2 linked regions of the Macaca mulatta genome follow. The protein of the gene in region 1 purifies or fractionates together with the protein of each later gene. This does not show direct contact. Links are inferred from orthologs where the notes say so. Each region holds a gene or a part of one and is shown on either strand. Other genes may lie near its edges.

Evidence for each region.
Region 2: the proteins of COPS3 (region 1) and COPS7A purify together in Homo sapiens (affinity purification with mass spectrometry; 14 studies listed by BioGRID and IntAct, counting the BioPlex papers as one, with this or other methods). This does not show direct contact. The link is inferred for Macaca mulatta from reciprocal best matches to the Homo sapiens genes COPS3 and COPS7A.

Annotation. Positions count from the first base shown.
Region 1 is NC_133421.1:18,817,466-18,821,941, forward strand, and holds part of COPS3 (COP9 signalosome complex subunit 3), read right to left. Parts: exon of another isoform or gene 4,467-4,476; coding exon 4,374-4,466; intron 1,324-4,373; coding exon 1,144-1,323; intron 1-1,143. UniProt on the Homo sapiens protein: Component of the COP9 signalosome complex (CSN), a complex involved in various cellular and developmental processes.
Region 2 is NC_133416.1:7,678,116-7,683,087, reverse strand, and holds the start of COPS7A (COP9 signalosome complex subunit 7a), read right to left. Parts: upstream 3,023-4,972; 5' UTR 2,902-3,022; exon of another isoform or gene 2,804-2,901; intron 2,442-2,803; 5' UTR 2,399-2,441; coding exon 2,237-2,398; intron 1-2,236.

The sequences.
Region 1 (4,476 bases):
GATTACAGGCATGCACCATCATGCCCGGCTAATTTTGTATTTTTAGTAGAGATGGGGTTTCTCCACGTTGATCAGGCTGGTCTCCAACTCCCAACCTCAGGTGATCCGCCCGCCTTGGCCTCCCAAAGTGCTGGGATTACAGGCATGAGCCACCGCACCCTCCCCTTCTTACCTTTTTAAAACACACATCATCTTGATATTTCAAGACCAGTTTGCTCATGAATTACTATATTTGGCTACAGCAATGATAATGCATCGAGTGGCTATGAAGTACATTTTTATAATTTTCTGAATCTGTAGTCTTAAAGAGAAGTCACCTTGAAGATTTGACCTGACTAGACACATGCTTTAATGACACCATTTCCACCTACTGGCACCTTATGGTGGCCCTTCTCAGGTCCCCTCAACAGGGCACATCAACCACTCATTATGGTATGGTTCAGAGCCACGGATGTGTGTACGTGTGTGTATTATGTATTAGAATTCCAACTAAGCTGAGCTCCCTGAAGGTTTTAAATATCCTTTATTAATACATGCTATGAACTAAAAAGGAAAGTATGAACATCTAGCTAATTTACCTTAAGACAACGGGTTTATTAATCAATATTGTGTATCTCTTTTTCAAAGTCTGAGTAAAGCTCCAGAATAGTCTACCAAATTGTGCACTATGTTTCATTACACAGACACAGAAAGGGTGGGAGGGACTATTACTGTGTACTCCTCTATACCCTTTAAATTTTGAATCAAGAGAATGTTTCACTGAGTAAATAAAACTTAACAAAATACCACACATGGTTTTAGAATAAGACACATCCAAGATCATTCAGTTCAATCTCTTCCTTATATGCAAAGGAAGCTATAAAGGTCAAGAGATGTCATAACTTATCCCAAATCAGATAAGATATAAGTGCAAGCCTAGATTAGAACCCACCCACAAGTGCTCTTCTATGCACTGGCACTGCTCCTCAACTTAGGGATCAGGTTACCACCATTTACCTGATGACAGAGAAGCAGTCTCTGAAAGGACCACCACCTGAAACGGAGGCCCCGGGATCAGTCCACTCTAGCCACAAACCTATGGGATCACTTTTTTGATCACATGAGTTCAGAACAACCTCAGCTAATTTTTAGAGAAATGATTACCTGTTCATAAAAGTAGAGAGCTCTTTCAAAGTTCTTCAGCCCAGTATAGATCATTCCTCCATAATAATAGTAACATAAAAAGTGCTTTGCATCATAGGCTCCATTCTCTTTACAGATATCCATCATATCCACATCAAGATATGGAAGGGCAGGCTTAAAGCATTTTGCTAGCAAACAAAGCTGTGAACAAATTGATATTAAATCATCACTTTAATTTTACTTAGGCAGGTATTAGCAGAAGAAGAAAATTCATAGATTCCAGAAATTTCCAAATAATGTAATTGTGTTTTACATTTTATTGACTAAAATGATCTAAATGTCAACACATTTCATGTATCTGCTATCTGAAATGCTTAGGACCAGAAGTGTTTCAAATTTTGGAGTATTTGCAGAATACATACCAGTTAAGCATCCCTAATCTGAAAACCTGAAATGCAATTGCTCCAATGAGCACTTTGAGTGCCAAGTTGGCACTCTAAAGATTTCAGATTTTGGAGCATTTTGGGTTTCAAATTTTCAGATTAGGACTAATCAACCTGTACTCCATTTTCTTAGCCATTCAGAATAAAATAGCATTACTTTTTTTTTTTTTTAATGAGACGGAGTCTCACTCTGTCACACAGGCTGGAGTGCAGTGGCACATCTCGGCTCACTGAAACCTCTGCCTCCCGGGTTCAAGTGATTCTCCTGCCTCAGCCTCCTGAGTAGCTGGGATTACATGTGTGCACCACCACACCCAGCTAATTTTTGTATTTTTAGTAGAGACGGGGTTTCACCACATTGACCAGGCTGGTCTCGAACTCCTGACCTCAAGTGATCCATCCACCTTTGCCTCCAAATGTGCTAGGATTACAGGCGTCAGCCACCTCACCTGGTGGAGCATTTCTTTATAAAAAGCTAAACAGCTATAAGGCCAAGCATGCTATAGACGATTGAGAATAGAGAATTCTGGCCGGGCGCGGTGGCTCAAGCCTGTAATCCCAGCACTTTGGGAGGCCGAGGTGGGCGGATCACAAGGTCAGGAGATCGAGACCACAGTGAAACCCCGTCTCTACTAAAAATACAAAAAATTAGCCGGGCGCGGTGGCGGGCGCCTGTAGTCCCAGCTACTCAGGAGGCTGAGGCAGGAGAATGGCGTGAACCCAGGAGGCGGAGCTTGCAGTGAGCCGAAATCGCGCCACTGCACTCCAGCCTGGGCAACAGCGTGAGACTCCGTCTCAAAAAAAAAAAAAAAAAAAAAAGAGAGAATAGAGAATTCTACAGACAAGACTCAGTTATCCCTTAACCTATCCCTACCCATCTGATTAGAGGGCAAAAGAGTGTGTCCTCTTTCTCTTTACTGAACTAGTGGAATGGAAAGAGACCAGCATGGTGTAAGTAGAAGTGCTTCCTTTAATTAATCCTTTCCAGTGTTTTAATCCTTTAGGTAAATGTAGGGAATTGTGCAACTCAGCAAACCAAGCCCTTAGAACAGTTATCTAGCTAATGGAGACGCAGTGTAGACATGCATACGAACTCACTGAGCTATACACTTTAGTATTTTACTGTCTGTATGTTGTACCTCAATCACAATTTTTTTAAAACATTAAAAAAAGACACATCTTCATATGAAACTAGAACATGTGTTTGAAATAATCCACACACCATGTTATTCTTGAAGGAAACAATGTAAATACCCATGCAGACTTGTGAAACCATGGCATACTCATATTATAGACTACTCCGTACCTGTAGAGTACCACTACGGAATCATCTCCAAGATACGTTAAATACAAAAAGCAAGCCACAGAAGAGTCTGCATAGATTAAAATTTGTGTAAAAAATGAGAAAATATATATTCATATTTGCTTTTATGTCCATAAAAAGTCTTTGGAAGGATACACAAAAAATTACTAACATAGTTTCCTTTTAGAGAAGAAATAGATGGCTAGCAAACAGAATGGAAAGGAGACTTCATTATATACCTGCCCTCCTCACAAAATAAGATAAATAAATGAGGCCAGGCATGGTGGTTCACGCCTGTAATCCCACCACTTTGGGAGGCTGAGGCAGGCGGATCACTTGAGGTCCGGAGTTCAAGACCAGCCTGGCCAACATGGTAAAACCCCATCTCTACCAAAAATACAAAAATTAGCCAGGTGTAGTGGTACACGTCCATAATCCCAGCTACTTAGGAGGCTGAGGCAGGAGAATTGCTTGAACCTGGGAGGCGGAGGTTACAGTGAGCCTAGATCGTGCCACTGCGCTCCAGCCTGGGCAACAGAGCAAGACTCTATCTCAAAAAAAAAAAAAAAAAAAAAGATTAACAAGTAACATTTTATGGTGTAAGAAGTTAGATATGTTCAGTCTCAGGTTCCACAATTTTTTTTTTTCTTGAGACAGAGTTTGATTCTTACGGCCCTGGTTGGAATACAATGGTGCAATCTCGGCTCACCACAACCTCTGCCTCCTGGGTTCACGCAATTCTCCTGCCTCAGCCTCCCAAGTAGCTGAGATTACAGGCATGTGCCACCACGCCCAGTTAATTTTGTATTTTTAGTAAAGACGGGGTTTCTCCATGTTGGTCAGGCTGGTCTAGAACTCCAGACCTCAGGTGATCCACCAGCCTCAGCCTCCCAGTGTTGGGATCACAGGTGTGAGCCACCACACCCAGCAGGTTCACAATTTTAAAAGAATGATTCAGGATTTTTTAAAAAGTTACAACTAGGGCTGGGCGTGGTGGCTCACACCTGTAATCCCAGCACTCTGGGAGGCTGAGGCAGGTGGATCGCAAGGTCAGGAAGGAGTTCAAGGCCAGCTTGGCCAACGTGGTGAAACCCTGTTCTACTAAAAATACAAAAATTAGCCAGGTGTGGTGGTGGGTGCCTGTAGTCGCAGCTACTCAAGAGGCTGAGGCAGGAGAATTGCTTGAACCCGGGAGGCAGAGGTTGCAGTGAGCTGAGATCGTTCCACTGCACTCCAGCCTGGATGACAAAGCAAGAATCTGTCTAAAAAAAAAAGTTACAAGAATTAATTATCCTATCTGTTCAACAAGCTTACTAGTTGAGCCCTATCCTAGAGTTTGCATCCAGCACCCGCCTGAATGTAACAGATGTACCTACATATTCTGACTTCTATAACACATCACAATATCCGCCAACTTGCCTTCGTTTATCAAACCCAATGTTGAGCAAGCCCATCAACAACCTACACCTCTGAGTTGGTGTGAATCACACACTTTGGCTGCTTACCTGGCAGAGATCAGCATGTATTGAGGTCAGCTGGTTTGTATTCATCTGCATCTTGTCTATGGCTTGCTTAAGGATGCCAATTCCTCGCAGGGGCTGTCAGAAA
Region 2 (4,972 bases), on another chromosome or scaffold:
TCTGAGACGGTGTCTCGCACTGTCACCCAGGCTGGAGTGCAGTGGTGCGATCTCGGCTCACTGCAACCTCTGCCACCCTTTTTTTTTTAAATTATACTTTAACTTCTGGGATACATGAGCTTTTTTGTTTGTTTGTTTGTTTGTTTTTTTTGAGACAGAGTCTCACTCTGTCGCCCAGGCTGGAGTGCAGTGGCGCAATCTCGGCTCACTGCAACCTCTGCCTCCCGGGTTCAAGTGATTCTCCTGCCTCGGCCTCCCAAGTAGCTGGGATTACAGGCGCCTGCCACCACGCCCAGCTAATTTTTGTATTTTTAGTAGAGACAGGGTTTCACTACCTTGGCCAGACTGGTCTTGAACTCCTGACCTCATGATCCACCCACCTCAGCCTCCCAAAGTGCTGGGAACAGGCATGAGCCACCAAGCCCGGCCCTGTTTTTTGTGGTTTTTTTTTTTTGGGACAGAGTCTTGCTCTGGAGTGCAGTGGCGCCATCTCAACTCACTGCAACCTCCGCCTCCCGGGTTCATGCCATCCTCCTGCCTTAGCCTCCCAAGTAGCTACAACTACAGGCGCCCGCCACCATGCTCAGCTAATTTTTTTTTTTTTTTTTTTTGAGACGTAGTCTAGCTCTGTGGCCCAGGCTGGAGTGCAGTGCCCGGATCTCAGCTCACTGCAAGCTCCGCCTCCCGGGTTTTTTTACGCCATTCTCCTGCCTCAGCCTCCCCAGTAGCTGGGACTACAGGCGCCCGCCACCTCGCCCGGCTAGTTTTTTGTATTTTTAGTAGAGACGGGGTGTCACCGTGTTAGCTAGGATGGTCTCGATCTCCTGAACTCGTGATCTGCCCGTCTTGGCCTCCCAAAGTGCTGGGATTACAGGTTTGAGCCACCGCGCCCGGCCTTTTTTTTTTTTTTTGAGACGGAGTCTCGCTCTGTCGCCCAGGCTGGAGTGCAGTGCGCGGATCTCAGCTCACTGCAAGCTCCGCCTCCCGGGTTTACGCCATTCTCCTGCCTCAGCCTCCCGAGTAGCTGGGACTACAGGCGCCGGCCACCTCGCCCGGCTAGTTTTTTGTATTTTTTAGTAGAGACGGGGTTTCACCGTGTTAGCCAGGATGGTCTCGATCTCCTGACCTCGTGACCCGCCCCTCTCGGCCTCCCAAAGTGCTGGGATTACAGGCTTGAGCCACTGCGCCCGGCCTCAGCTAATTTTTTGTATTTTTAGTAGAGATGGGGTTTCACCGTGTTAGACCGTCAGGATGGTCTCGATCTCCTGACCTTGTGATCCGCCTGCCTCAGCCTCCCAAAGTGCTGGGATTACAGGCGTGAGCCACTGCACCCAGCCCTGTTTGTATTTTTAATAGAGACAGGGTTCTGCCATATTGGTTTCACCTCCTGACCTCAGGTGATCCACCTGCCTTGGCCTTCCAAAGTGCTGGGATTACAGGCGTGAGCCACTGCACCAGGCCAAGTGCTTCTTTTTCATCACCTTGATGGATACTCTTTAGTTCCACTGCAGATGAAAGCAGGGAAAAGTCAGCCAGTTTTCACCATATCACAGAGTGATCCAAAAGGTTAAACCACAGGCCCCACATAACTTAGCTCAGTTTACCCACATATCACTGTCAGCATGTCAGGACTCAGGCTGCCTCCTCTGTAAATTAACTCTGCCACTTTTGTGTGAATGGTTCTCTCTGCTGTGTTCCTAGTGTTTGCCATGTGTCTTTGGGAAAAAGACACATTCTCCCTTAGCTACCTTGAACAGATTAGCATATGCTGCACATAGGGAAGAACAGGGCATGCTAATTTAACATGTTCACTACCCACTTGTACCAGACTTTACACTTTCCCATAATCTCACTTTATTCCCACAACAGAGGGGGCAGTATTGTCTCCATTTTTAAAAAAGAGAGCTCAGGCCCTAAAACAAAAGTGACCTGATCAAGGTGACATGAGAATTAACAGCTATTACGCTGGTGGAGACGGGCTGGAAATCAGATTTCCTATTCTGAATAACATGCTCTTTTGCTTAAAATGAAAAACAGTGGACTTTACAGATCCTTTATCTCCAAAGGAAAGCTGGTTTGCTTGTTTACTGGTTACTTTTGCAAGTTGGCATTTAATCATCACTGTTTTCTTGTTCAACTGAATGGTATGGGATCACAAATTGAGCCCTGCCCACCCATTCTCAAATTCAAACCTTTGCCCATGCTTCTCTGTGGACTATTCAAGCCAGCAACCCACCTCTCTAACATTGGGCATGTCCAGCAGTTCTCCAAACACGTAGACACCAGGGGCCTCCAGCACCTGATGGATGAGTGTGGCCAGCGCTGCCCCCTTGGCCGACTTGGCTAGGAGCAGAAATTGCTCCTGGTTCTGCCCTGTCACCTTCACTTCCGCACTCATGACTGCACTGAGCTGGGGGCACCTGGGCTCAGGATGTCCAGAGCTGCAAGGAAAGAGAATGTGAAGCTAGAGATCCCCGATGGCTGGTAGGATGGGAAGCACAAGGCTGAAGGACTGGATTGTATAGGTACTAAGTCGGTTCTGCGGTGAGGAATCACACATGGAGCGGTCTAGAATTCTGATCTACAAATCCTAGTCAGCCACTTCACAAGGCTGCCACACCCACCCCCTCCCCTGAGCCTAACCCCAAGCCCCATCATGTGCACCGCCACTGAACCCTAAGACAGGATGCAACGGAGAAAGGGGTGTCGCATGGTATCCACACTAACGACGACGCTCCCTCAGTTCTCCACTCCTGCCCCGCACGCGCCCACAACCACGTGACCTCACCCCAATGAAGCTTACACGTGGCTCCGCCCCCTCCCTTAAAGACACCGCCCAGCGACCGTGGGCTCCCGCCGACTGCTTCGTCGTACCCTGGGTCAGGCTCTGCGGGCCGCTACCTGGAAGCTTCGCCCTCCAGCGCACCGGGCGGGGCCGCCGCTCCGTCACCTCCGGCAGCTGTTCCAAGCCTTTCCTGCCACCTCCCTGAAGAGTCGCTCTGGCCACTAAACTCTATGGCGGGCTTCCGGCCGTACTTCCGCTCTAAGGACGCAAATTTCGGCAGGACATGCCCCGCCCCCGCGTTCCAACCGCTGAAGCTCCAGTGAGGGACGCAAGCATTCTACTCTCCGATTGGTCGCCGGGGGAAGAATGACGGGCGCCTTTTTAAATACTGTATTTCAATAAAACTTTATTAGTGGAAGAGCGCTAGCCACTAAACACAGACGTCTTTGGCGGGTCCCCTGGTCTCGGCCGACTCTGTGTTTGTTCTAAGCCGCTGGAGAGCTGGAGATCAGGACTGCCCTGGGTGCCTGAGGCAAGAGAAAAGCTGTAATGGAATGAGTGAAGAAGCGGGAAAAAAACGGGATGGGGGAGTAAGGGGCAGAGAGGAAGTAAACAATAATCAATAATAGAAGTTTAGCAGCAGAGATCACCTAGGTCGTTCAACCACTCACTTTTTTGAAGAGCAGGAGAAAAGAAGTGAGAAGAGTAAAAGATAATAATTGCTAACATGTATTGAGTGCTTACTATTGGTCAGACATCTTTTAAAATTTTATTCCGTTGAATCCTCACAAATATTCCCAGTGTGACTTCAGGACACCCTCTACCATGATTACTATATATGTATTAATACTTGTAGAATGATGCTTTCAGTACATGGACTCTTAGTTTCTTGGGGCGGAAAAACCCCTATGTTACTCATTTTACAGAAAAGGAAATTGAGACTCATAAAAATCCAAGGATTTATCTGGAGCTTTTCAAACTCAAAACCATCTTTCTACTTCAACATACTTTAATAAAAACAAAAACAACTAACATTTATATAGTGTTTTATATTTCACAGCAGGCTTGCAGAAGGTCAAGTGAGGGTAAAGTTAATGACATCTTGGCCTTTGTGTTAAGCTACGAGCATTACTTAATTCATCTGATACAACAATCTAGTAATTGTTATCTCCACTTTCCAGATGGAAAAACTGAGACTCAGGAAAATTAAGAAACTTATAAGTAATGGAAAGACAAGAAAGTGAAAAAGAGAAAGATAAAGAGAAATAGAACTCGTAGTCTGTTAGGGCTAAAGGAACTGCAGATGCAGTTTATGGTCCACATATTTTGGTTTGTAATAGAAAATAAGCAGAAACACAGAAAGGAAAGGGAAAGGAGGAAGAGGAGAAGAAGAAATGAATGGAAAAGGTGAAACAAAAGTGAGAAGGAATCAAAGGCATAATAAAATATTAAAACTTTGAAGGAACCAAGGAATTAATGAGTCCAAACTTATTTTTTTTTTGCATCCACCCCTCCCCGCCCAAGCTTATCTTTTCTTTTTTATTTTTTTTTTGAGCCAGGATTTCGCTCTTGCCACCCAGGCTGGAGTACAATGGCACAGTCTTGGCCCACTGAACCTCTGCCTCTTGGGCTCAAATGATTCTCCTGCTTTGGCCTCCCGAGTAGCTGGAATTATATGCGTGCGCCACCATCCCCGGTTAATTTTTGTATTTTTAGTAGAGATGGGGTCCAAGCTTATTTTTAAAGAGAGAAGGGAAAAACATGTAAGATGAAAGAATGAGAAAACAACCCATATTTGTTCTATTTTGCACCAAGTGCTTTATTTGTTCATTTTTTACTTTTTTTTTTTTTTTTTTAGAGGCATGGTTTCACTCTGTTGCCCAGGGTGGCATGCAGTGATGTGATCACAGCTCACTGCAGCCTCGATTGTTCAAATTTTTTATTTATTTATTTATTTATTTATTTAGACAGAGTCTCGCTCAATTGCCCAGGCTGGAGTGCAGTGGTGCGATCTCGACTCACTGCAAGCTCCACCTCTCGGGTTCAAGCGATTCTCCTGCCTCAGCCTCCCGAGTAGCTGGGATTACAGGGACGTGCCACCATGCCCAGCTAATTTTTGTATTTTTAGTAGAGATGTGGTTTCACCATATTAGCCGGGATGGTCCTGATCTCCTGATTTCATGATCC